Xenopus tropicalis: one gene and its partners. The protein of the gene in region 1 interacts with the protein of each later gene in a pairwise test. Links are inferred from orthologs where the notes say so. Each region holds a gene or a part of one and is shown in the gene's direction. Other genes may lie near its edges. The genes, in order: trim63, uqcrc1, pdhb, mybpc3, tcap, gmeb1 and sqstm1.

Region 1 (2,280 bases):
ACACACCAGTTGTAGCAATGCAGGGCAACTGTACATTATATTGTAATTACTTTTATACACTTTCATTTTTTGGTGTTACTGTTCCTTTAAGTGCCACTGCATTTTAAACAGATCTGGCTCTTTTTATGCCAAAAATTTTTGCTGTAAAGGCAACAAAAGAACCTTAGAAATACACGTTATATTTTGTATGACTTTTTTGGCATAAAATATATATTTTTTTAAATATTCTTTATTTTCAAACATATAATATGGGGGATACAGAAGGCAAGAGGGAAGGGGGGTCAAAAAACAAGGGCATAAAATATTTTACTCGTCTTTATAAATAGGCCTTCTATTGTATTTATTCAGGGAAGTTGTCAAGCAGATTAAGCCACAATGCAAACAGTGCCAGCCAATTGGGCAGAATACCCCCTGCATCCAACTTGCAAGAACAGTATATTGCGATGCTGCTCACAGAGTATTAAATGTACCTATGTACCTACCCAGAGTATGTGACACCACAGTTTTAAAAGGTTAATACAGCTTTCAACACAATCAGAGCATAATAGGTCAACACACCCCAAATATAGTGTAAATTAAATCCAGGAAATACAAATTGCCTGTGTCTTATAAATTTATCCTTTAAAAATCCATTTATAGCGGTCTAATTTAGTTTAAACATTTTCTATTTCTTATGTTGTACCTCTCTTATGCTGTGCTAAACCTTTTCTTTTCTGCTGTTTTCCTACAGGAGTCCAAACAGCTTATTAAAAAGTAAGTAACATTCCAGATCCAAAGCATGAAAATCATATGATTGTTACCTACTGCATGAACTGGTGATTCAGCCATATCGAGTTCATAATAAAACAATACCAGTGTGCCTTTTGCTCAGAGAAGCAACTAGTAAAAAAAAATGAAAACATTCAAAGGATCCAGCAGTAAGGAAGGGCTATAGAAAGAAACATGGGGAGGTGACATAAGAGGAAGTTGTAGAATGGCAATTAGTGCAAGGAGTCGTATCAGCAGGTAGCATTTATTTGTCAAATACATGTCTGATGCAAAAGCAAGCATTGCTTTTGATTTGTTGCTATGGGTCATTATACTTGGGCAAATTTTGCCCATTTTTATTTTATTATATTATGTTAGGGATATCTAAGAATGCAGCTGTTCAGAGTGCTGTTCAGCTTATTTAAATGTTAACTCTTGTATTTGCAGGCTAATGGAAGCATCCAAAGGCTGCCAATTGGAGAAGACTGATCATGGATTTGAAAATATGGACCAGTTCACCCTGGATATGGAACATGTCAGCCAGTGTCTGAGAAGCATTGACTTCACTCCAAGTGAGCTGAGAATCATGGTTGGAAAGGATCTTGTTTAATGCAGGATTTGGGGTGACAATAGCATTTGATAATAAGAATATAGTCATCATTGTTTAAAACAAATACAGTCTACAAAGGAATTTTCTTAAAGTAAATCAGTTACAAAAATTATTTCAAGTAATGTAAATTAAATAAAAAAGTAGGACAATTATTTGCTGCTTTCTGTCTTTTTCCAGCTTTCAAATGGGGTTCACTGAAAAAAAGTAAAAAAGAAAAAAAACTATTGCTCTGCGAGGCTGCATTTTTTTTTTGTTATTTCTATCACTATCCATTACATAACTTTCTATTCAGACCCTCACCTATATCTTTATCTTGAAGTCTTAATTTAAGCCACTGCCTGGTTGCTAGGGAAATGGGACAAAAGCAAGCAGATGAAAAATGAAGACCAATTGCAAATTGTCTCAGACAATTGTCACTCATCAAAATATCTGTTCAATCATAGTTAAAGTTTATGTAAAGTTGAACTACCATTACATGCTTTTTATCGAAACCAAAAATAAAGGCACAAAAAAGCAACAGTAAATAAAACACTCACCAAGTAGTAGTAGTATAAATTAAAAAAAATCAAATACTGAAAAAAAATAAAGACAGACTGATTTTGTCATTGGGTTTATTTAACATATCTAGTCAAAAGGTAGATATTTGTCACCATGGAACAAATGTAAAATACACTCTTTCTTTGGTCAGTGATTTTGAGAACCTGTTAGAGGAAACCCATAACTGCATCAAAATAGACTAATGAGAATGCTGTATCAGCCATTTGGGAAGTACTGTACCGCTAAATGTTATTTTTTACAGACTGTGATGAAGATGAGGAAGATGATATAGAGGAATATGAAGAAACTGAAGAAGAAACACTTGAAGGTAAGAACATTTGTCATAGACAAATTTACACATATGTCTCTATAACAAAGGTCATGGT
Region 2 (3,097 bases), on another chromosome or scaffold:
TGTGGGTAAATGTGTGTGTGTGTGGGTAAATGTGTGTGTTGTACTGTAAATGTGTGTGTGTGTGTGTTGTACTGTAAATGTGTGGGGGTAAATGTATGTGTGTGTGTGTGTGTTGTACTGTAAATGTGTGGGGGTAAATGTATGTGTGTGTGTGTGTTGTACTGTAAATGTGTGGGGGTAAATGTATGTGTGTGTGTGTTGTACTGTAAATGTGTGTGTTGTACTGTAAATATGTGGGGGTAAATGTGTGTGTGTGTGTGTGTGTGTATGTGTGTGTGTTGGTAAATGTGTGTGTGTTGTACTGTAAATGTGTGTGTGTTGTACTGTAAATGTGTGGGGGTAAATGTATGTGTGTGTGTGTTGTACTGTAAATGTGTGGGGGTAAATGTATGTGTGTGTGTGTGTTGTACTGTAAATGTGTGGGGGTAAATGTATGTGTGTGTGTGTGTTGTACTGTAAATGTGTGGGGGTAAATGTATGTGTGTGTGTTGTACTGTAAATGTGTGGGGGTAAATGTATGTGTGTGTGTGTTGTACTGTAAATGTGTGGGGGTAAATGTGTGTGTGTATAGGTAAAAAAAAAAAGGTTACTTACTTTGTTTGTGAGCTGGAGAGTCCTTGGCTGTAAACATTGTCCCATGATGGAGTCTCTGCAGCGGGTGGGCGGGATCAGCAGGGCTGGGGGAGGAGCTCTAACAGCAGACACCATGCCATCTGCCATTCTGTCTGCTGTTAAAAGTCAGTCCTGCGACAATCAAGTTGCAGGACTGACTTGCCAGCCCCCTTGGCTCATTGCCTGGGGGGTTTGGGGTGCGATGGACTCTCTGCACTGGTGGCAAAAGCCAACAGAGAGAGGCTTTATTTCTGAAACACGTATGTCATACGTGCTTGGCAGGAAAAGAGTTAAAAGGACTGTTCACCTTTAAGTTCACTTTTAGTTACACAGTGGCCTATTTCTAGCAACTTTGCAATTGGTTTTTATTTTATATTTCTTATAGTTGTTTGAGTTATTTCCCTTCTTCTTCTGCCTCTTTGCAGCTTCCAAATGGGGGTCACTGACCCCGGCAGCCAAACCCTATTGCTCTGTGAGGCTCCAGTTTTATTGTTATTGTTACTTTTTATTCCTTATCTTTCTATTCAGCCCCTCCCCTATTCATATACCCGTCTCTCATTCAAACCTCAGCCTGGTTACTAGGGTACATAAGACCCTAGCTACTAAATTCCTAGTAATGGCCTACCCAGACTCCCCTGGCATTGCCCCCCATCTGGGCCCATAGAGGGTGGGGCAGTAGCAATGGGCATTACCCCCCCATCTGGGCCCATAGAGGGTGGGGCAGTAAAAATGGGCATTACCCCCCCATCTGGGCCCATAGAGGGTGGGGCAGTAACAATGGGCATTACCCCCCCCCATCTGGGCCCATAGAGGGTGGGGCAGTAACAATGGGCATTACCCCCCCATCTGGGCCCATAGAGGGTGGGGCAGTAACAATGGGCATTACCCCCCCATCTGGGCCCATAGAGGGTGGGGCAGTAACAATGGGCATTACCCCCCATCTGGGCCCATAGAGGGTGGGGCAGTAGCAATGGGCATTACCCCCCCATCTGGGCCCATAGAGGGTGGGGCAGTAACAATGGGCATTACCCCCCCATCTGGGCCCATAGAGGGTGGGGCAGTAACAATGGGCATTACCCCCCCATCTGGGCCCATAGAGGGTGGGGCAGTAGCAATGGGCATTACCCCCCCATCTGGGCCCATAGAGGGTGGGGCAGTAACAATGGGCATTACCCCCCCCCATCTGGGCCCATAGAGGGTGGGGCAGTAACAATGGGCATTACCCCCCCCATCTGGGCCCATAGAGGGTGGGGCAGTAACAATGGGCATTACCCCCCCATCTGGGCCCATAGAGGGTGGGGCAGTAACAATGGGCATTACCCCCCCATCTGGGCCCATAGAGGGTGGGGCAGTAACAATGGGCATTACCCCCCCCCATCTGGGCCCATAGAGGGTGGGGCAGTAACAATGGGCATTACCCCCCCCATCTGGGCCCATAGAGGGTGGGGCAGTAAATGCCTTGTTACCCTGCCAATGTGCCCTAGTGACATATTCCCTTATTACTATTTCCTACATATTAAATAGATTGGGTGGGGCTCCATAAAGCCAAACTGTAAGGGGCCGGCCCCTTTGCTCTGTTCCCATTGGCTGAGCCAATCTGCCTTCTCTTCCCCCCCTGACAGGCTGTGAGTGCTAAGAAAGTGAGTGAGATCTGCTCCAAGTACCTGTACGACAAGTGCCCCGCCGTAGCCGGAGTGGGTAAGTCTCTCCCCCCCCCCGTGTCCCTCTCTCACGGAGCCGCTCTGATTGGTTCCCTGCCGGTAACCACCTTTGTCTTCCTCCCCCAGGGCCCATTGAGCAGATCCCCGACTATAACCGGATCCGCAGTGCCATGTATTGGCTGCGCTTCTAGCTCCGCCCACCCAGCGGCTGAACCAACCGACAGAGAGGAGATGCGCATCTCTGCCCATTCGCTACCAGTTAACCCTTGTGTTTCCGACAGCAACATCAGAAAGAGTTAATAAATGTAATTTAAATGTACACAATTCTGCTGGTTTGTCTTCCCTTCATGGCTTTTGTTTTTATTGCATAATAAATAAAAATATATATATATATATATATATATATATATATATATATATATATATAGATAGGGTGTGGCTTATAGAGACTAAATATATATAGTAGATAGGGTGTGGCTTATAGAGACTATATACAGTATATAATATATATAGTGTGACATAACAAACTGTATAAGTTGGATGAAACTATTAGATATTTCTGTTTATGCTGAAATGTACCCCCTGCCCCCCTCCTACCTGTTGTACAAATGCATTGTGTAGGTTAATCTCATCTAGGTGTGTATTGTGTGTAGCCAGCCGGCTCTGTCTGGCCCTCCCCATGTAATTGCCCCTATTGTGAGGGCACACAGAGCCAGACCCCATAGTGACACAATACACATAGTTACCCCTTGTGAGAGCAATGCTCTGTCTAGTAAATGCAATAGACTGAACTGGGCATGCTCACTAGGTGGCTTCCCATAGGC
Region 3 (2,168 bases), on another chromosome or scaffold:
AGCGTTGTGAAAACAAACCATCTGGTGACAGTAGAAGGCGGTTGGCCACAGTTTGGCGTAGGCTCTGAAATCTGTGCCAAGATCATGGAAGGTCGGTGCATCTCTGTGTCTCTGTCTCATTGGCTAATGATTTTATTCTATGTATTCTGAGGCTTCCCTCTTGTAAATAGAATGGGAGGTGGGCTCCTGGGGGGTTTGATAAGAAATTTTGTTTGCAGATACAAATTACTGGAATGTGATCTGTTTATGAAACAACAGACAAACATGTCTGCACAGACTCACCCCCTCTTAGGTGCCTTCACATAAGCCTGGGAAATAGGCCGGAGATGGGTGCTGGCCAAATCAGCACAGTGCTCCAACACTGCCTTACTGCAACACCATAAAAAAAGAAAGCAATATCTTCTCGCCCCCATCAGCCGATCAGCAGAACAATGGGAAGGGAGCAAGATAGCAGCTCCCAGTAGGTATCGGAATAGCACTCAATAGTAAGAAATCCAAGTCCGGCTTGAGACTCCTCCAGTTACATGGGAGTAGGAGAAACAATAGGTTAGCTGAAAGCAGTTCTAATGAGTAGCGCTGGCTGAAAGCTCAGACTCGGGCACAAGGCACTGAGATGGCGCCTACACACCAATATTACAGCTACAAATACATTTGTTGGTTGAAGAATAAAAGGTTAAATGGCAGAGGGAATTATTTGCTGTGTAACAGTGTCATTTAGAGATAAAAAGTGCCCCATAAACATCATGGCAGTGTCCCTATCCCCCCTCTAATTGTTGCAATGGTTCATTCCATTCCCAGGGCCAGCATTCAATTACCTTGATGCGCCAGTGGTCCGTGTGACTGGCACTGATGTCCCGATGCCTTACGCCAAGATCCTGGAAGAGAACTGCGTCCCTCAAGTGAAGGATATTATATTTGCAGTAAAGAAGACTCTGAATCTCCTGTAGGCGGATCCGGCATGGGAACACTTTATAGGAGGGTCATTTACATTTTAATGGGCGACTTGTTATCCTATGAACAGAGAGGATTCTGCTTCCTGCAGACTGAACTGCGACTGCAACATTTGTACTTTATAAATGGTTCTTGGAAGCTGCCTTATGTGCGAATTGTGTCCTAGTTACCCTTTCCCTGGGCAGCGTCCCCTTAATCACTCCCCCGCGGGTCATCTGTGCCATTTGTGTCCTCTATGGAGAAACCAGTTACAAGGAGGGACTGTTCAACTCTATTAGTCGTCCCTGAACCCAAAAATACTTCCCACAGTCCTGTCACTAGTTAAAGGGCCAATTCACCTTTAAATTATTCTTGTGTATGTTGTGGTTTTTGTTCTAGTTGCTATGGTCCATTTTGCCCTAGCAACCAGGCAGCGGTTTAAGTCAGAGACTGGAAGATCAGTGGGAGAAGCCTGAACAGGCTAACGGAATAAAAAGTAACAATAAAATTGTAGCCTTATAGAGTGTTTTGGCTGCCGGGGTCAGTGACCCAAATTTGAAAGCTGAAAAGTGACAGAAGAAAATGATTTAATAACTATAAAATGAAGAGACGTTAGCAAGTTGATAAGGACATTCTATAGTATACTAAAGTATATTTATAGGTGAACTTCCCCTTTAATGTCATTTCTGCAACATTTCTTCCTCTCTGGGGGGAATAAACCATTTTATCCACTGGAAAGTCTTTGTATTACCTGTGCCCGGAACCCCCTATATCCACACTGGTGTCCCACAGAGCCGGGTAGGAATAATAATAATAATATTATAATAAGAAATAGGAGCATTGAATGTTTCTTGCACAGGAAGCCAAAGTAAGAACTGCCATATGGCTACGTAACATCTGATTGGCTACTCGCTCTGCATGTCTAATACACAATGGGTGGAGTTGTAAAATCATTGCTCTTCTCCTTGGTTCTGATGGGGTTAATAGGGGGTTTAGGTGGAAAATGTCGTTTAATTCCTCTCCTGGACCTTAATTATCCAATTGAGCTAATGAAATTGTATGATTGCTTTAGTCAAGATGAGCTCCTCCTCCAAAAGGCCCCTATGATGCCCTCTATAGGGGGGGGGGGGTGAAGGCTGCACCCCAAACCTGCCCATGGTTCCAATTCTTCAATGTTTTACATCCCCCAACTGGCTGCCACACAGAACAAATATTTATATAAATGCACTGGATTCTGA
Region 4 (4,192 bases), on another chromosome or scaffold:
CTGGCTGCAGCACTAAAATCTGAGGTGACTTTTTATGGTTCCTTGTTAACCTGTCAATCAAGTCCAGACTTCTGATTTAGAAGCAGGAACTACTTTTACTAATGGCTACTTTTAGCAGCAGCAGATACTTTTAGGTAGGGCGAATTTTGGGACTAAATAGTATTGACGGAACTAGGCCAGTTGCTAATTAGCTGGGATTAAGATATGTCAGTCCAGTAGGTCCCTCTCATTATGTTTGGCCTACAATTTTCTGAGGCTGTCAGGGGCTGCTGGGAATTATGGTTCAATAAAGGAAATATCTGGCTTTTACTTGCTCAGTTGAAAGATATATACGAGACTGAGGTTAATGTAATGTAGTCAGGAGTAAGTATTTGTTTGGTTGCTATGGGGTAACCAGCAAAGCTTGTTGGTTAAAACATGGTTGTTTGTCTTTGTGGAAAAACATGTTGCCTAGCAACCAATGGTGTAGACATCAAAAGGAGTAAAGGAAAACTGTATGGAAATTATATAAAGATGATGACTGAATCTATTCCAGTCAGCCATGTTAAGGGGGACCTGTCACCCACACATACAAAGCTGTATAATAAAAGTCCTTTCAAAATTAAACATGAAACCCAAATTCTTTTTTAATTAAATCATCCATACCTGTTATAAATGTATTTAAAAATCTGAGCTGTTGATCATATATTGCAGGCAATTTATGATTGACAGCTCAGATTTTTAATTACAATAAGTTTAACTTTCCATTCAGCACTTCCTAGATATCACCTAGATGGCAATTGCATAAGATTTGGGGGTGAAACAAAGCTCGTCTTAATAACAGTGCCCACAAAATGGCGCCGGCCTGCTGGCTGTGATTGTAAAAGACTGAAGGAAAAAGAAATTCAATCATTTATATAGTGTAAGTAAAGTTTATTTTGCTCTACTAATATGATACAAAAGCATCTGGAATTGTTTCTTAGGGTGACAGGTCCGCTTTAATCTGTTTCCTGACTTGGACAGGCTATAGGGCAGCCATTTTTGTTGTGGGGAAAATTTTGTCTGGGAAATGGAGGCCTTGTGGTGTTTTACAATAGAACATGGCAGGGTGCTACCGGCAAGGGCCATATAAAGAATAAAAATTAGGCCGGGCATGAGAAGGGCAGTAACGACAGGGCAAAGCAGTAAAACAATGGCTGGCATGGGAGACAGTTATATGGGGCAGTAAAAAAGCAGTAGGGGCCAGACAACAGGACCCGGGATGCTGGGCTATATTTATCCCGGCTGAAATATTCTGTCAAGTGAGGTCTGCTGTCAGAGAGGTGACAGGAGCGAGTGACAACAGGAGGGAGTGTGGGGGTGGAGCACCGAAAGCTTCTCCCTATCTGCCATTCTTTAAGGGGGTCTGTAAAAATCCCACAGCTTCATTCCAGTTCCAACCCGGTACTGGTCTGGAACTACTGCTGAAAATTGTCTAGTTAGCATTTGGGTTCTTCCGCCAAGCAGGCTGAGCTAGGATGCCTGAGCCTGTCAAGAAATCAGGTAGGATGGGGCAAGTGATGGGGGTAAAGGTGTGCTAGGTATGGGCATCATATGCGCTGGGCATGGGGCAGGATGGCAGAGCTGGTGTAATTGCTGCAATGTGGAGGGGCAACTGGTAGATTACAAGGAGGTGGCTGGTACTGAGTAATCACAGGAATTTTCATCTACAGCTCTACCTACAATATGAATGGACCATATACTTACCCCTATGTCTAACACCCAGCAGTCTCCTTATCATTTAACTAGGGCACATCTATGCAAATGAATGTTTTTTTTCCATTAGTATATCCATCTTGTATCTACCTGTCTCTATACCACAGGATCATCATCTCTTTAGATGGAATAAAATAGGGCTGTCCGACTAGTGGCCAATGAAAAGCAGTGCCATAAACAACTGCCATCATCCTTAGATATTGGGTTCAGTTCACAATACCTGGATAGAAGGACATTTTACATGTCTGTGCTAGTATATGTGTGTCATCAATGTACCCCCAGTAACTACTTACCTATTAAACAGAAGTCTACCTATCAATCCATAACTCAGTCTTTCATCAACTGCCAGACCTTTCTATTGATTAGTAGGCAGCTGGATTGGTCTATTTATCTGGCAAAAGGACTTTAATTATGGGTCATAGTTAGAGGTCCATTTTCTTTAATATAGGGGAATCTATCTATCATCTATCTATCTATCTATCTATCTATCTATCTATCATCTATCTATTATCTATATATCTATCTATCCATCTATCTATCTATTATATATCAACATCTATGAGTTCATGTATTAAGGTGCCAGAGGCATGGCGGAAAGTTATACAATTGACTTCAACAGAGTGACAATGATCATTTCCAGGCATTTTGTTTTGTATTTCCGAGAATATGCCAGCTGGCTCTGCACACTGAGGGGGCATGACACTCAGCAATGTGAGAATGACATATGACCTAGATGAATGCCAGCTTGGCCTGTAGCTTATCTTAGCTACTGTAATTATGAATTGCTTAAAGGGACAGTAAAGCATCTATCTATCTATCTATCTATCTATCTATCTATTATCTATCTATCTATCTATCTATCTATCATCTATCTATCTATCTATCTATCTATCTATCTATCTCTATCTATCTATCGAGTTTAGGGAAGTTGCAGGAAGAACATGTTACTTGTGTTAGGGAAGCAGTTTAATGCCATCAATGCCGAGAAAACAGGCAGGGGGCTTGTAGCACCTACTTTATGGTTGTACATCCCATGCCTCAGATGAACATTGGATGGAACTCTGCTTATTTTTGGCTGGGACTAATAGGGAATTGATTGCTCTTGTGACCTGAGCTGTAAGGAACAAATGCAAAAGCCGATGACTCTTACTCGCCATCAAAGGCAGTCAAGTAGGAGCAAAGCCCTGATTCCCTTATTGCTGACCCAGCGCAATTTCCCATGAGTCTGTGAGCTTTGTTTGGATTCTTCCATACCACTGTGCTTAAGTATAGCTAAAATGCTTGTTCACAGCTGCCCTACGAAGGGGAATGGGTGTCCTACATTGCAAATGTCATCAAGGTCATGGTGCAAGCAATGGGTGTGCAATAGTCTTAATGGTTACTTAATGGTTACCCACATTGACCCCTCTTACCCTTTATACCATTTACAGTTTATATTCCATCATCCCCCAATTTAGAGCCCCCCCATCTCTTACATCCACAAGGGCTAGAGGATCCCTGGGATCCCATAGTTGTTTTAGTATTTACTGACAACAAAAGAGGGGGATTGACAGGGGTGGTCTTTTTAGGGAAAATGGCCCTAGATATTTTAGGGAGTTCTGTGGCTGTTTGCTTGTTGTTAAAATGCAGGTTTAAACCAAAATCTAGGATCAACATTCATGTATCTTTTCATTCATTTATCTACTAGCATTGGTGGGGCCACCTAGCAACCTTGAAAGAAGCTTCTCTAAAGCATTAGAGGTTACCTATTTATAATGATAGCTTCTCCTGTGACCCACAGGAGACAGCTCTCCAACTGGTAAGCTTAGTCCAGCTCTTACTAAACTACAACTCCCAGCACCCCAGCAGCAACCAACATCTATGTACGATTCTTAGAGTTGTAGTTGAACAGGTTAAAGTGTATACATTGGTGCAAAGTGGATCTTCCATTGTCCAAAACCCAACACCTGCCTCAGTGTTTAGTGTCCTGCAATAAAACCCAACTGACATGTAGCACTCTCTCTTGGCTTGCCTATGTTTCAGGCTGGGGGGTGGTGAGTCTGTATGTGTTCCACCTGCCCTGCATGAATCTCATCGTGACATACGTGTTGTCCTCATTGCTGCTTTGTCACAGACAGATTCTAATGGGGGATACAGAAATGCCAAGTCCTAAATACTTGGTTATATACAGATCACAGACCTTTGGGAAATGGTGAGGAGGAGATTTAGCACTGCAATTTTCTTCCCAAAAAGTCCTCTTATAAATTGTCCAGAAGATCACTTACTAGTATGGTCAATGGGGATATAGGGATTACAGCATATGCGATCCTTGCTCCCTGCTACTACTAATATATATGTTTCAGCCACGAGGCAAGGCGAGATCATTCCTTCAAAGAGGGCAAGGAGATGCCTTCACGACAAGTTACAAGCCCTCCCATAGTCAATAAAATGTGATCAGCATACTGTTTTATAATACATT
Region 5 (3,972 bases), on another chromosome or scaffold:
ATCTGTTATCCAGAAGCCTGTTATCCAGAAGGCTCCAAATTACAGGAAGGCCATCTCCCATAGAATGCATTTTAAGAAAGTAACTCCCATTTTTTTCAGTGATGTCCATTTTCTCTGTAATAATAAAACAGTACCTGTACTTGATCCCAACTAAGATATAATTACCCCTTATTGGGGGCAGAACAGCCCTATTGGGTTTATTTAATGGTTAAATGATTCCCTTTTCTCTGTAATAATAAAACAGTACCTGTACTTGATCCCAACTAAGATATAATTACCCCTTATTGGGGGCAGAACAGCCCTATTGGGTTTATTTCATGGTTAAATGATTCCCTTTTCTCTGTAATAATAAAACAGTACCTGTACTTGATCCCAACTAAGATATAATTACCCCTTATTGGGGGCAGAACAGCCCTATTGGGTTTATTTCATGGTTAAATGATTCCCTTTTCTCTGTAATAATAAAACAGTACCTGTACTTGATCCCAACTAAGATATAATTACCCCTTATTGGGGGCAGAACAGCCCTATTGGGTTTATTTAATGGTTAAATGATTCTCTTTTCTCTGTAATAATAAAACAGTACCTGTACTTGATCCCAACTAAGATATAATTACCCCTTATTGGGGGCAGAACAGCCCTATTGGGTTTACTAAGATCAAGTATCAATGGATACAAAACAATCCTGTTGGGTTTAATTAATGTTTTATTGATTTTGTAGTAGGTATGGAGATCCAAATTATGGAAAGACGCCTTATCCAGAATACCCTTGGTCCTGAGCATTCTGGATAATGGGTCCTATACTTGTACTGAGCTTGCCAGCACTCTTTCTATGCCACCCAGCAGGCTATTTACCCAGCCTGGCATTCCCTAATGACAGTTCTGTCCCTAATGGGCTGCCATAAGGAGCTCTTACTGTAACATATGAGCCCTCGCATTTTCCGCTGAGACCGTGTAACCCGGTTATTGATGACAAAGCCTATAGGTATGTATCAAGCTGGGCGGCAGTGAGCAGCTTTCTGGGAAGCCCTGAGTCCCAGCTCTGTTCCATATCTGTCCCCACTGTGACTGTGCGAGGGGCAGCGCTGGGGGGGGGGGGCAGGATGACTCTTTGGGCAGATATAGAGTGTTACAAAACAGAATGAAAATAGACACAGACAAGGGTATATAAATGCGGGGAAGAGCCCTGCCTGGCAGAGCCACACACACAGGGAATCAGAGGGAGAAGCCACAGAGCTAAATCTAGAGAAACATGGTGGGAAAGCCTGGGACCCCCAAGGCCATGGGGAACGTGACTGAGCTGAGCTGCCGAGTGCAAGAGGATAACACGGCCAGGAGGGAGCACTTCTCCGCAGAATGGATAGACACCTCCATGTTCAGCCGACCAGAGGAAAGGTATGAAGGGGAGAATGGGGGGACAAGGGAGCTGGCAGTGGGGAGGGGAGGACAACTGTTACACACATGTGCTCTACCTGTTATTTTATATGCCTTTAGTTGCCCTTTAAACCAACACACACCCTAGTTTAAAGGGAAGCCATACCCCTGGCATCCCCATGTCTCTGTATTTAAAAACACATTAAATTCTCTGTGCTGATTGGTTGCTATGGGTTACTAGACCCAGACTAACCTTTGCTGTATTTATTACATTACCCCCAAGGGATTCCCGGGAACAAATTCCTTGAGGCTCCTAAAAAAAAATCCCATTTGGGTTTATCCTATAGGTTAAAGCTCACCCAATGGGTGAAGCAGAAGCCGGGGTAATAGCTGATCAGATTCCCAACTACAGACCGGTTTTGCCCTTCTTGGGGCTCATCAGTGTAGCGCAGGGTTTTCTGATCAGCTTAGGGAGAGCCAGGAGTGGGGATTCACGGACAAGTCATAAGGGTTGAGGAGACCGCCTCATACATTACCCCCCAAAGTGTTACTTTCGCTGGTTTGTTCTGCTACCCCCCAACTCTTCCTTTCCAAATCTGTCATATTACTGCATGCCCAATGCTGACACCTAAAGACTTGGCACACAGGAATAGGTACCCAAAGGGTTACAGTGTTGCTTGTGGGTATGATAAAGTATTGAGTATTAATCATTTCTTTTGCTCCCCATTTCAGCTGCAATGCCCGTGATGCCAATGTGTGGAGGAGAGAGAGTTTCCGCCAACAGGGACAGACCCGCTTCCTGGTCCAACAGTCTCCCGCACAGGTCATGAAAATGGGTCGCCTTGGCCAGAGACTCACCCAGTACCAGCTGCCCTACCAGAGAATGTTGCCTCTGCCCATCTTCAAGCCAGCAGATCTCAGCACCAAGATGGAACGCATAGCCACCCCGCCCCAGCTGCGCGGCATGATGGAGTTCGAGAGGGCGCTTAGCCACCCAGGCAATGACGGCGTCTGTCCGGATAAGAAGTCGCTCTCCCAGATCACTAAAGAGTTGCCTCCAGTCATGCAACCAGTGAGAATGGAGATGATGAAGCCAGGCCTGGCCCAGTCTTTCACAAGGTCTACGTCCCAAGAAGTCATGAGAGGGTAGAAGAGAGGAGAAGGCGAAGGGTCTAGAGGAGAGTGAAAGGTGTAGAGCAACCACCCAATCCTATCTGCTAGTCATAGATGGCCAGGTTAGAGTGCAGTGTGTGTCTGCATGGTGTCTGCTCTAGAAGGCCCCTACTTTGTATAGCTGGATTATAGGGAAACGGCCAATTGGTTCCCGGCGGCAACCTCTTCGTTGTGTTTGTAAACTGGATAGAATATTCCAGCTTGAGATTATTTGCAGAAGTTTATATGTCTTTTATCTGTAGGTCACAATTTTGGGAATGATATATGGAATGGAAGGTGGCATATGAGTAGGTGCAGGAGCTCGTTGTCCTTAGTGTAGAGTTAGGGGGGAAAAGGTAGTCATTCCCCAAGCCCAGGATGGGAGACAGGGTACTATGGCTGAATTCCCTTTTTACTAGACAACAATGGGTTCCTTGTTGCCCTGGTTTATAGTGCAATGGTTGGTGGCCAATTTAAGAAAGGTTGGAGACCCGGTTGAGCATTTCAGTCTGATCTGATCTAGAAAAGCCGCTTACAGCACTGCCAATAAGCAAGTTACCCGGGGCACTCGGCAGAGAGATTGCAGGTGAATAGTTATAATGAGGGACATAGTTTGTATAAAGCCCCAGGGTGGGGCAATGTAGGCATCAGACCCATAATGGAATGGGCTACAATATACTGTATATCCCCATCCTCTCCTACATGAAATCCAGGTGACTGAACTACCCAATGGCACGGCGGGAGCTGCCATACTTGGGCCATGGTGGCTTCTACACCTTGAGTGATGGGACAAAGAAAAACCCGTTAGGTGAAACGATGGACTGCAGATCCCTCTGCCCTTAATGGGGCTCAGATATGTTTGCACAGTTTTATATGAAAACAGATACATATTTATATTTGTACCTATGTTCTCCTTTGTCTTGGTACTAATTAAGTTCTAATGTTATTTTCTTACGTCTAATAAAATGAATGTTTCAGCCCTTTTTTTATTGTGACGCTTACATTTATATTCACAGTATAATATACACACACAAATACACACACATTGCTAGGTGTGTACACATATATATATATATATATATATATATACATAGTCAAAAGGTACCCTGATCTCAAGGGATCTGGTATTGATATGTATTGAATGTATTGCTTATGCAATGGTTACATAGTTAAGTTGGGTTGAGAAAAGACCAAAGTCCATCAAGTTCAACCATTCCAAGCAAACCCCAGTGCATTTATATACTTAGTATAAGTAAATATAATATATTAATAGTGTGTGCCATGTTTTCCCAACAATAAGAGCACATACAGAATACAACAATAACGAGTATTCCTTCATAGGTATAAACAGATATTAATTGTATCAGCCATATGTGCCACTGATATCGGTTGAAGATACCTGCTTTAAATAAGGACAACTAAGTCAAAGCAAGGTAAGGATCGGTT
Region 6 (4,051 bases), about 1.5 Mb from region 1:
TCGGCAACTTTTTCTCTCACTGACTATAAATTATTTTTCTTTATTGACTATGCAGCCATTGCCTTTCAGCTCTTTAAGACTATAAAGTACTGCAAGCTTCTTAGCGGGGAATGCTGGGTGTTGCAGTCTCTCAACACCTAAAGGTTGAGTACTAAATTAAATTCTCTTTGCGCATGCGCGCCGCTTTAACCATACGGAAGTGTCTGAATTGTGGAAAGGTGCGCTTGCGCAGTACAGCTGCTGTAAAGTTCGCCAGCGAGCGTAAACGCTTTGTTTAGGAATTTCCAAAGATTTGAATGATAAATATATTGAAACTAAAAAGTTCGGCGTTTGTTAGTTTTAAAAACGAGTTGTAGCTGTTTTATGTCGAGTTGCGTCTCTATGAGAATGGATAATTACCTGTTATACTGTAGTAGGTTAAGTCTATAAAATGTGCCTATTGGGATGGTAGGTGCTATTTAAAGGAATATGGTGCCAATTATAATTTTTTAATTTTCCTTTATTTGCATGATGCAGGCATGTTATACGTGTTTATGGAGATTGTTTATTATTTACATCCTATCAGTACTTGCCTAAGCTGGGCTTACAATCAAATAGGGTAAACTAAAACAAATTAAAGTTTGCAAAAGGTCTGATAATCACTTAACAATGAGCAGATCAGTGGGGGACCTACTAGGGGTGCATCTGCAGTGCATCTATGAGAGACTCCTCTCATATTCACATAACTGCCATATTGTTATGTCTCTTCATCAGATGGGGTTGCCACCTTTAAAAGGAAAAAAAAAGAGACTTGTTTCCCTACTTTCTTTCATACCAATTGATAACATTGGCATGAAGTATTATTTGCCAAGTAGCAAATTGTTAACCTTCTTGCATTGTTTTGTAGTGCTGTCAGAAACAAAAGCAAATTCACACAGGTTTCCCCTAAAATAAGTAGAAGTTACCATGGCTCAGCTGAGAAATCCTACAAGTGCAAAGGTGTGGTGGACACGAATCAACAAAGAAAAACAACACACTTTTTTTGTGCTGGAGATAATTAAAACTATTATTACTTAGGTTATGTTTAAAAACATACAAAAAAGATCCTGCTTTCCTCCCACACCAGAATTATATGATAGACCAAACACTGTTGTTTGCTTATATGGCAATAAATGCTGCTCAATGCATTGTCCATATGTGCTGCTATCTTTATATACACTAGACCATGCAATATAACTTGCTCTTTTTTTTTCTTGGATGAATTAGGTTGTGGAGTAACACTGCACAATCTGTGTAACTAATGGCCAATGCTGAGGTGACAGTCCCCATGGGGGATGTGGTTGTGATTCCCAGTGACTGCACTGAGGGGGAAGATCCAGAGGATACCAAGACACAGGTGATCCTGCAGTTGCAGCCCATACCTCATGGGTAAGTGTACAGGTGGCCGTGCACATTGTGATCTGCTCAAGCAGCTCTTCTTTCAATAAGCCCACCTAAGGTGGGCAATATCGGCCCTAGGACCAAGGCGCCATCAGACCGAGGGCCGCAACAATGAGCCGATGCAGTCCCCTAATTCGACAGAAAATTAAACCTGCCCCATTGAGATCTGGACAGTTTTAGGCCAGATGTTGGTCAGATAGGCCCATCGGGGGTGCCCATACATTGGCAGATGAGCTGCCAAACTGGTCAATCCTAGTCCCTAAGTAATCATTTCAGCAAAGATGGATAATGAGTATTTACTCTTAATTTTTTGTTGTACTAACATAATGCCGTCATAAACAAATTTGTTTGGATGCAAAAACAATTCATTTGGTTGGCAGATTTATCAAAATGTGAGTTAATGAGTGGTTAATTCATAAAAATCACCCGTTTTCTATTCATACCTATGGGATTTAGAAGCGTATTTATCGGTGAAAGTTAGAACTCACCATTTGATAAATACACTTCTAAAAATCCCTGTAACTTTGTAATTATTATCTTAAAACTCCCACAATGCGAAAGATGTTTGAAGGTAAATAACAAGGTTTCAGAAGTTGAACAGTGGTTTGCCTTTATTTTGCAAAGGCTTGTGCTTACTGAATCTAGGCAGTAACCCATAGCAACCAATAAAAGTATTTAGCTTCTTTTCAGATAGGCATAAGTAGAACAGTAAAAGAAACATTTGATTGGTTGCCATTGGTTACTGCCCAGGTGCTAATTTGCTCAGTATTAATAAATTAGCACCAGTGTCTCGCATAAAAAAAAATCTAGGGTATAATTTCTGAATCTTGACTTTTTCTCATATTGAAGTAAAATATTTTTTGTGTGTAATTTTTTTACTATCCAATGTTTTCCTATGCTAAAAACTTGTCAAAATGTACTCTGTCCCAAGCTAGCATTCCATATAGATGCCACAAAAACATTCTCTGCAATGTTTCCAGTCAACATTTTTATAGAATGCTTGGAAACTTCCTGCAACTTTAGAGGTAATAATGTAACTCCACCTCAGAGCAGGCAAATGTTTTTAGGGAAAAAATGGAAAATGGATGTGAAAAATAGGAACAGGTAGGTGAACTGCAGGACAAAGTCAAGGAAAAGCCTAATATTTCTTTTCTTTTTATTAAAAAAATCAGTGTTACATAAAAAACGAGAACAGTAAACTTAACATTAAGTATATCTAACCAATGCTGCAGTATCATTAACAATATACATTATAAAATACATTCATATCATCACATTGGGGTTTGTGGGATATAGTATTTGGTTTGTCTGGTGTGTGGGGAAAAATTGAGAAGGGTCACCAAAGTAGGCAGAAATGCATATCTTCAGATTCTATCCATGACCCCCAGACTTTCTCAAATTTCTCCGGATCTCAATTGGCTTAAAGCCAATTGAGATCCCAATTGGCTGATTTAATAAAGTTTAGATTGATGTTCATTTGAAAACGACGGTAGAAATAGTAGAAATATTAGGTAGTAAACCTAATATTTCTACTATTTCTACCGTCGTTTTCAAATGAACATCAATCTGAACTTTATTAAATCAGCCAATTGGGATCTCAATTGGCTTTAAGCTATGTTTTCCAAATGTAAGTGAATGGCCATGTGTTCCGTTAATTAACTTGAATTTGGTATTTAAAAAGTGTTTCTACCACTGAAACACAGTAGAATTTTATCAAGTCATGGCTTTGTTTATATACATATACAGTGGTGTGAAAAACTATTTGCCCCCTTCCTGATTTCTTATTCTTTTGCATGTTTGTCACACTTAAATGTTTCTGCTCATCAAAAACCGTTAACTATTAGTCAAAGATAACATAATTGAACACAAAATGCAGTTTTTAAATGAAGGTTTACGTTATTAAGGGAGAAAAAAACTCCAAATCTACATGGCCCTGTGTGAAAAAGTGATTGCCCCCCTTGTTAAAAAATAACTTAACTGTGGTTTATCACACCTGAGTTCAATTTCTGTAGTCACCCCCAGGCCTGATTACTGCCACACCTGTTTCAATCAAGAAATCACTTAAATAGGAGCTACCTGACACAGAGAAGTAGACCAAAAGCACATCAAAAGCTAGACATCATGCCAAGATCCAAAGAAATTCAGGAACAAATGAGAACAAAAGTAATTGAGATCTATCAGTCTGGTAAAGGTTATAAAGCCATTTCTAAAGCTTTGGGACTCCAGCGAACCACAGGGAGAGCCATTATCCACAAATGGCAAAAACATGGAACAGTGGTGAACCTTCCCAGGGGTGGCCGCCCGACCAAAATTACCCCAAGAGCGCAGAGACAACTCATCCGAGAGGACACAAAAGACTCCAGGACAACATCTAAAGAACTGCAGGCCTCACTTGCCTCAATTAAGGTCAGTGTTCACGACTCACCATAAGAAAGAGACTGGGCAAAAACGGCCTGCATGGCAGATTTCCAAGGCGCAAACCACTTTTAAGCAAAAAGAACATTAAGGCTTGTCTCAATTTTGCTAAAAAACATCTCAATGATTGCCAAGACTTTTGGGAAAATACCTTGTGGACCGACGAGACAAAAGTTGAACTTTTTGGAAGGTGCGTGTCCCGTTACATCTGGCGTAA
Region 7 (4,030 bases), on another chromosome or scaffold:
TCAACTTCTGAATGCCCATGTTAGCCCTGCCATCCAATTTCATGTGTAAGCAGCTGTTCCAGCTACAGTAGGCAGTGTTGGACTGGGACCCCAGGGGCCCACCAGAAAACCTTGGACCCTAGGCCCACTCTCCAAACTATATTTCCTCCTTTCCTCACCCAACCTCTTTATTCTCCTAGTCTCTTTTATTTACATCTATCCTTCCATTTATTTCTCCTCTTTCTTCCCATTCAGAAATAGCAAATGACCTTGAAGTATGCCAAATGGTCAGGAGAATAAGGGCCCACTGACCCCTCGGCCCACCGGGAGTTTTCCTGGTATCCTGGTGGGCCAGTCCGACACAGTAGGCCTCAGTCTGCTTAGGAACATAAGCTGCAACTGTATTATATTCACCATTAAAGGCATTGGCCCTACATTCTCCTGTCATGTTTGAGTTAAAATTCACCATAACTCAAACTGGGCAAGTGACCCATCTGTGAATAGAGTTGCCATCTGTCCAGCAAAACTTATGCTTGATGTTATCTGTAATGGAGAATGATAAAATAAAATATAGGAAAGCAAAGGTGGCAACCCCAATCTGCAACTGTTCTAGATGTTTCCAAAGCTTGGGCTCCTATATATTGCTGGACTATAACTCCCTGCACGCTTCACCATATAGTCTAGTTTTAAAGCACTCTGGGAGCTGCAGTCTTTCAACATCTGGCGCCATAATTAAGATACAGACACTATGGGGCACATTTACTATTCCATGAATTTGAATCCCGAACGGCAAAAATTCGGATTGGAAACGAAAGTTTCTGAACTTTTTCGTCGCCATCATTGCAAATTTTTCGTACTGACCGATCGTAAACGCCGGGAAAACCTTTCTGACTTTGATCTTTCAGTGCATATCTGCATGGGCTCGATCAGTGCACTTGCACACAAAAGAACATTCCGGTAATGTGACGAAAAGTCATGGAATATACGAAAAAGTCGTGATGGCGCAGAAAAAGTCGCAAAAATACTGATCATAACGAAAAAAAAACGCTTTTGGAGCGTTCCTGGGTTAGTAAATGTGCCCCTATGTGTAGGAAGTTACAATCCCAAAAGTGGAATAAACAGAGAATAGAGTAAGAAATTATATTTAATTATACTTATAAAAACCTTAAATTCACAAAAAGAGGTTATTGTACACTTTTCAGTTAAACTGTACTTTATACTGTTCAGAGGACTGTGAATCTGTCATTTATTATGTAATATTGCCCTGCAGTTGGTAGTCTTTAGTCCCCTCACTGTGTGGAGTTCCCCCTTTGTTTTGCCAGGTCACGGTGACATCACAAGGTTGGTGGGCGTGGCTAGCAGAGTGGAAGAGTCTGGCAAGTTCCAAAGGGCTGATACTAATAGGAATACATTGGACGTAGAGGGTGGACTAAGGAGGAGTGGGGATTTCCAGGCTGGCTGTATAAATAAAGCTGGGACTGCTCTCAGCCGTCAGTCACAGAATAACAAACTTCTGCGCAGTCGTTCTGCTCATTGTTTTGTTCCTAACTGCGACATCGCCGCCTATACGGTGCCCAAGGTGCCACCATGCCAGTCACCGTGAAAGCCTATCTGCTGGGCAAGGATGAGAGTCACAGGGAGATCCGCCGCTTCCAGCTGGAGCTGCCGGCTGCCGGCAAAGAGAAGGCGTCCGTGTCCAGCTGCGAGCTGCTAGCTAACAAGGTGACTGGCGTGTTCCAGGGCCTCAAAGGGGGAGCCTTCCAGATGTTCTACAAAGGTGGGAAGCTCAGTCATTATATACTAATAATTGCTTATATCAAATAATTGTTACATGGGTATATAATTAATAATTACCCGACCTCAAACCTGACCTTCATTCATATTTGCCAGCAGATATTGGCATATATATCCCCTGCACTTTGCTTCCAATTTCAAGGTAATATGAGGCTTGGCATGAGGATAAACCCACCTCCCTAATGGGCAAATAATCTCCTTGGAAGATACCATGTCCAGCAGGGGATGCTGAATGACTGCCAGTTTATCATGTGTAATAATAGTAAGAACCAGTCTCCAGTCTCTGTGTTGCAGAACTACACCCCTCTGTAGCTCATACGCTGGAAGAATGTAGTGAGTTGCAACAGGTTGCCTGTGTCTGGGGTAAATTCTGTACATTATACACTTGTATGTGCAAATAATTGTTCAGCGCACACACAGCCTACCCACAATAGGAACGATCTTCGGGTACAGTCGATGGTAGCAACACAAACTTGTGCTACAGCTACTAATTCTGTTTATATCTCAGTGTGGTTATGGCTTCAGGGTGAATCACAGCATAATATTATTGCCTAGGGCAGAATAAACAGCGCTGAGGCCAAATAATAAGGAAAGTTCAGTGAATGTGGGTAGGGCAATCTGTGCATAAGGCACCTAGCCCACAAGCCACATTGCCCTCACTGGATTGTTGGTAGCCCTAACCCTCGTGTATTGATCTACATGGGTGACTCATTTAATAAATATAAGATGGTTGTTAGCAGATATTAGTACTATAACTAGTACTACAAACTGATTTAGAAAAACAATATGAATATAATGTTTAAATAATGAATAACAGACAGTTTTCTAACCATTTCTTAATAGATGAGTTAGTAATTTTGTCTAGTGATCCGTGGTGTGCCCAGGATTTGGGTGTTGCAGCTCACACAAGCACTGGCATGGGTTATGTACACAACTTAAGTATTTTTCTTATAAAAAAACATGGCTGCGTGCTTTATCACTGCTAAAGGGGAAGGGCCATTGTGTGTTTGTTTTGTTGGTGCTGTCTGGTTATGCAAGGGGAGTGGCAAAGGTTGTCGGTCTAAGGTCTGTGTTATATATTTGTACTTGTCGGCTTGTATTGTATTTTTTGTGATACGTTTGGATGATTGTCAGTAGGTCAGAACTATGCTGATAACAATGTTTCTTGGCTTTTATACATGTGGAAATTTCCACTCTTGCCGGATCTGGTTAACATCTTTCCCGAGCCAGGACCTGATTAATAATAGCTAGAGACTGAAACTGGGGGAAGCAGGTTATTAGGATGAGGGCACTAAAGAGTTATTAAGCAGAATCTGAGCGATATCTAAACCTTACCTTAGCAGATACCATAATAGCTGTCCAGTGTTTAGTCAATGAAATACGTGGTAGATCCATGGCACCTATAATAGAAACAACTCACACAGCATTGAGGCAATCTCCTGTACAGGAAGTATAGTGTGCAACTGTGCAAAGGTTGTAGCTTCCCACGGTCACCAATGTATAGTCTCAGCAGATCAGACTTCATTTTTCAATCTTATCAGAATTCAGCCAGGCTGTGTATTACATTGAAGGAGGACGCCTAGCCTAAAACGAATTTCTCTTGAAATGCTGTATTTTATATACTGCACTTGTTGTAACAGCAGAGGCAACAGGAATTATGCAGGACTCCAGATCAGCTCACCATCTTAGACCTTGTTAAGCCATCTGTTTAGTGTCAGTGACACTGCACTTGCTCTGTGTGCTCTTGGCTGTTTTTGAGAAATTAAGCTTTGCCTGAAATTATCAAACAGAAAATTAAGTTTAACTTTTACAGAAGCTGATGTTTCAGGTTGCACTGGTTTCTAAACTTGTGTGTAATTAATGTGAAGTTCATTTAATTACTAATTAGACTTTCATTGTAACTTTTATATTAAATGTATAGAATGTATATTGTGAATGGGTCCTTATGCTTAGGCAAATGACAGTAGCCCCCCAGAGTATGTGCTGTGAATTAGCAGCAGAGAAGATGGGGAGCTATGGGAGGCATCTTCAGCGGTACAGATCTTCCCTGCTAGATAGTAGCAGGTAGCCTTGGGTTACTAAATAAGGTCAAAACATAATAGGGCTCATTTATCAACACTTGGCAAATTTGCACGTGGGCAGTAGTCCATAGCAACCAATCACTGATTTAGCCAGCCAAAACAGTGAACAGTGAAAGCAAAAATGTAATTGTCATGGGTTACTGTCCATTTGCCCAGTGTTAATAAATGATTCCCAG

What was found.
Region 2: the proteins of trim63 (region 1) and uqcrc1 interact in a two-hybrid assay, tested with the Homo sapiens proteins (2 studies listed by BioGRID and IntAct). The link is inferred for Xenopus tropicalis from reciprocal best matches to the Homo sapiens genes TRIM63 and UQCRC1.
Region 3: the proteins of trim63 (region 1) and pdhb interact in a two-hybrid assay, tested with the Homo sapiens proteins (2 studies listed by BioGRID). The link is inferred for Xenopus tropicalis from reciprocal best matches to the Homo sapiens genes TRIM63 and PDHB.
Region 4: the proteins of trim63 (region 1) and mybpc3 interact in a two-hybrid assay, tested with the Homo sapiens proteins (2 studies listed by BioGRID and IntAct). The link is inferred for Xenopus tropicalis from reciprocal best matches to the Homo sapiens genes TRIM63 and MYBPC3.
Region 5: the proteins of trim63 (region 1) and tcap interact in a two-hybrid assay, tested with the Homo sapiens proteins (3 studies listed by BioGRID and IntAct). The link is inferred for Xenopus tropicalis from reciprocal best matches to the Homo sapiens genes TRIM63 and TCAP.
Region 6: the proteins of trim63 (region 1) and gmeb1 interact in a two-hybrid assay, tested with the Homo sapiens proteins (2 studies listed by BioGRID and IntAct). The link is inferred for Xenopus tropicalis from reciprocal best matches to the Homo sapiens genes TRIM63 and GMEB1.
Region 7: the proteins of trim63 (region 1) and sqstm1 interact in a two-hybrid assay, tested with the Homo sapiens proteins (2 studies listed by BioGRID and IntAct). The link is inferred for Xenopus tropicalis from reciprocal best matches to the Homo sapiens genes TRIM63 and SQSTM1.

Annotation. Positions count from the first base shown.
Region 1 is NC_030678.2:76,882,553-76,884,832, reverse strand, and holds part of trim63 (E3 ubiquitin-protein ligase TRIM63), read left to right. Parts: intron 1-730; coding exon 731-753; intron 754-1,194; coding exon 1,195-1,319; intron 1,320-2,156; coding exon 2,157-2,222; intron 2,223-2,280. UniProt on the Homo sapiens protein: E3 ubiquitin ligase. Mediates the ubiquitination and subsequent proteasomal degradation of CKM, GMEB1 and HIBADH.
Region 2 is NC_030680.2:153,046,311-153,049,407, reverse strand, and holds the end of uqcrc1 (cytochrome b-c1 complex subunit 1, mitochondrial), read left to right. Parts: intron 1-2,234; coding exon 2,235-2,310; intron 2,311-2,399; coding exon 2,400-2,464; 3' UTR 2,465-2,597; downstream 2,598-3,097. UniProt on the Homo sapiens protein: Component of the ubiquinol-cytochrome c oxidoreductase, a multisubunit transmembrane complex that is part of the mitochondrial electron transport chain which drives oxidative phosphorylation.
Region 3 is NC_030680.2:148,523,371-148,525,538, reverse strand, and holds the end of pdhb (pyruvate dehydrogenase E1 component subunit beta, mitochondrial), read left to right. Parts: coding exon 1-91; intron 92-798; coding exon 799-947; 3' UTR 948-1,668; downstream 1,669-2,168. UniProt on the Homo sapiens protein: The pyruvate dehydrogenase complex catalyzes the overall conversion of pyruvate to acetyl-CoA and CO(2), and thereby links the glycolytic pathway to the tricarboxylic cycle.
Region 4 is NC_030680.2:15,840,835-15,845,026, reverse strand, and holds the start of mybpc3 (myosin-binding protein C, cardiac-type), read left to right. Parts: upstream 1-1,392; 5' UTR 1,393-1,496; coding exon 1,497-1,521; intron 1,522-4,192. UniProt on the Homo sapiens protein: Thick filament-associated protein located in the crossbridge region of vertebrate striated muscle a bands. In vitro it binds MHC, F-actin and native thin filaments, and modifies the activity of actin-activated myosin ATPase.
Region 5 is NC_030686.2:9,928,860-9,932,831, reverse strand, and holds tcap (telethonin), read left to right. Parts: upstream 1-1,172; 5' UTR 1,173-1,252; coding exon 1,253-1,395; intron 1,396-2,106; coding exon 2,107-2,524; 3' UTR 2,525-3,511; downstream 3,512-3,972. UniProt on the Homo sapiens protein: Muscle assembly regulating factor. Mediates the antiparallel assembly of titin (TTN) molecules at the sarcomeric Z-disk.
Region 6 is NC_030678.2:78,408,554-78,412,604, forward strand, and holds the start of gmeb1 (glucocorticoid modulatory element-binding protein 1), read left to right. Parts: upstream 1-1,251; 5' UTR 1,252-1,279; coding exon 1,280-1,407; intron 1,408-4,051. UniProt on the Homo sapiens protein: Trans-acting factor that binds to glucocorticoid modulatory elements (GME) present in the TAT (tyrosine aminotransferase) promoter and increases sensitivity to low concentrations of glucocorticoids. Also binds to the transferrin receptor promoter.
Region 7 is NC_030679.2:22,202,840-22,206,869, reverse strand, and holds the start of sqstm1 (sequestosome-1), read left to right. Parts: upstream 1-1,230; 5' UTR 1,231-1,566; coding exon 1,567-1,756; intron 1,757-3,108; exon of another isoform or gene 3,109-3,546; intron 3,547-4,030. UniProt on the Homo sapiens protein: Molecular adapter required for selective macroautophagy (aggrephagy) by acting as a bridge between polyubiquitinated proteins and autophagosomes.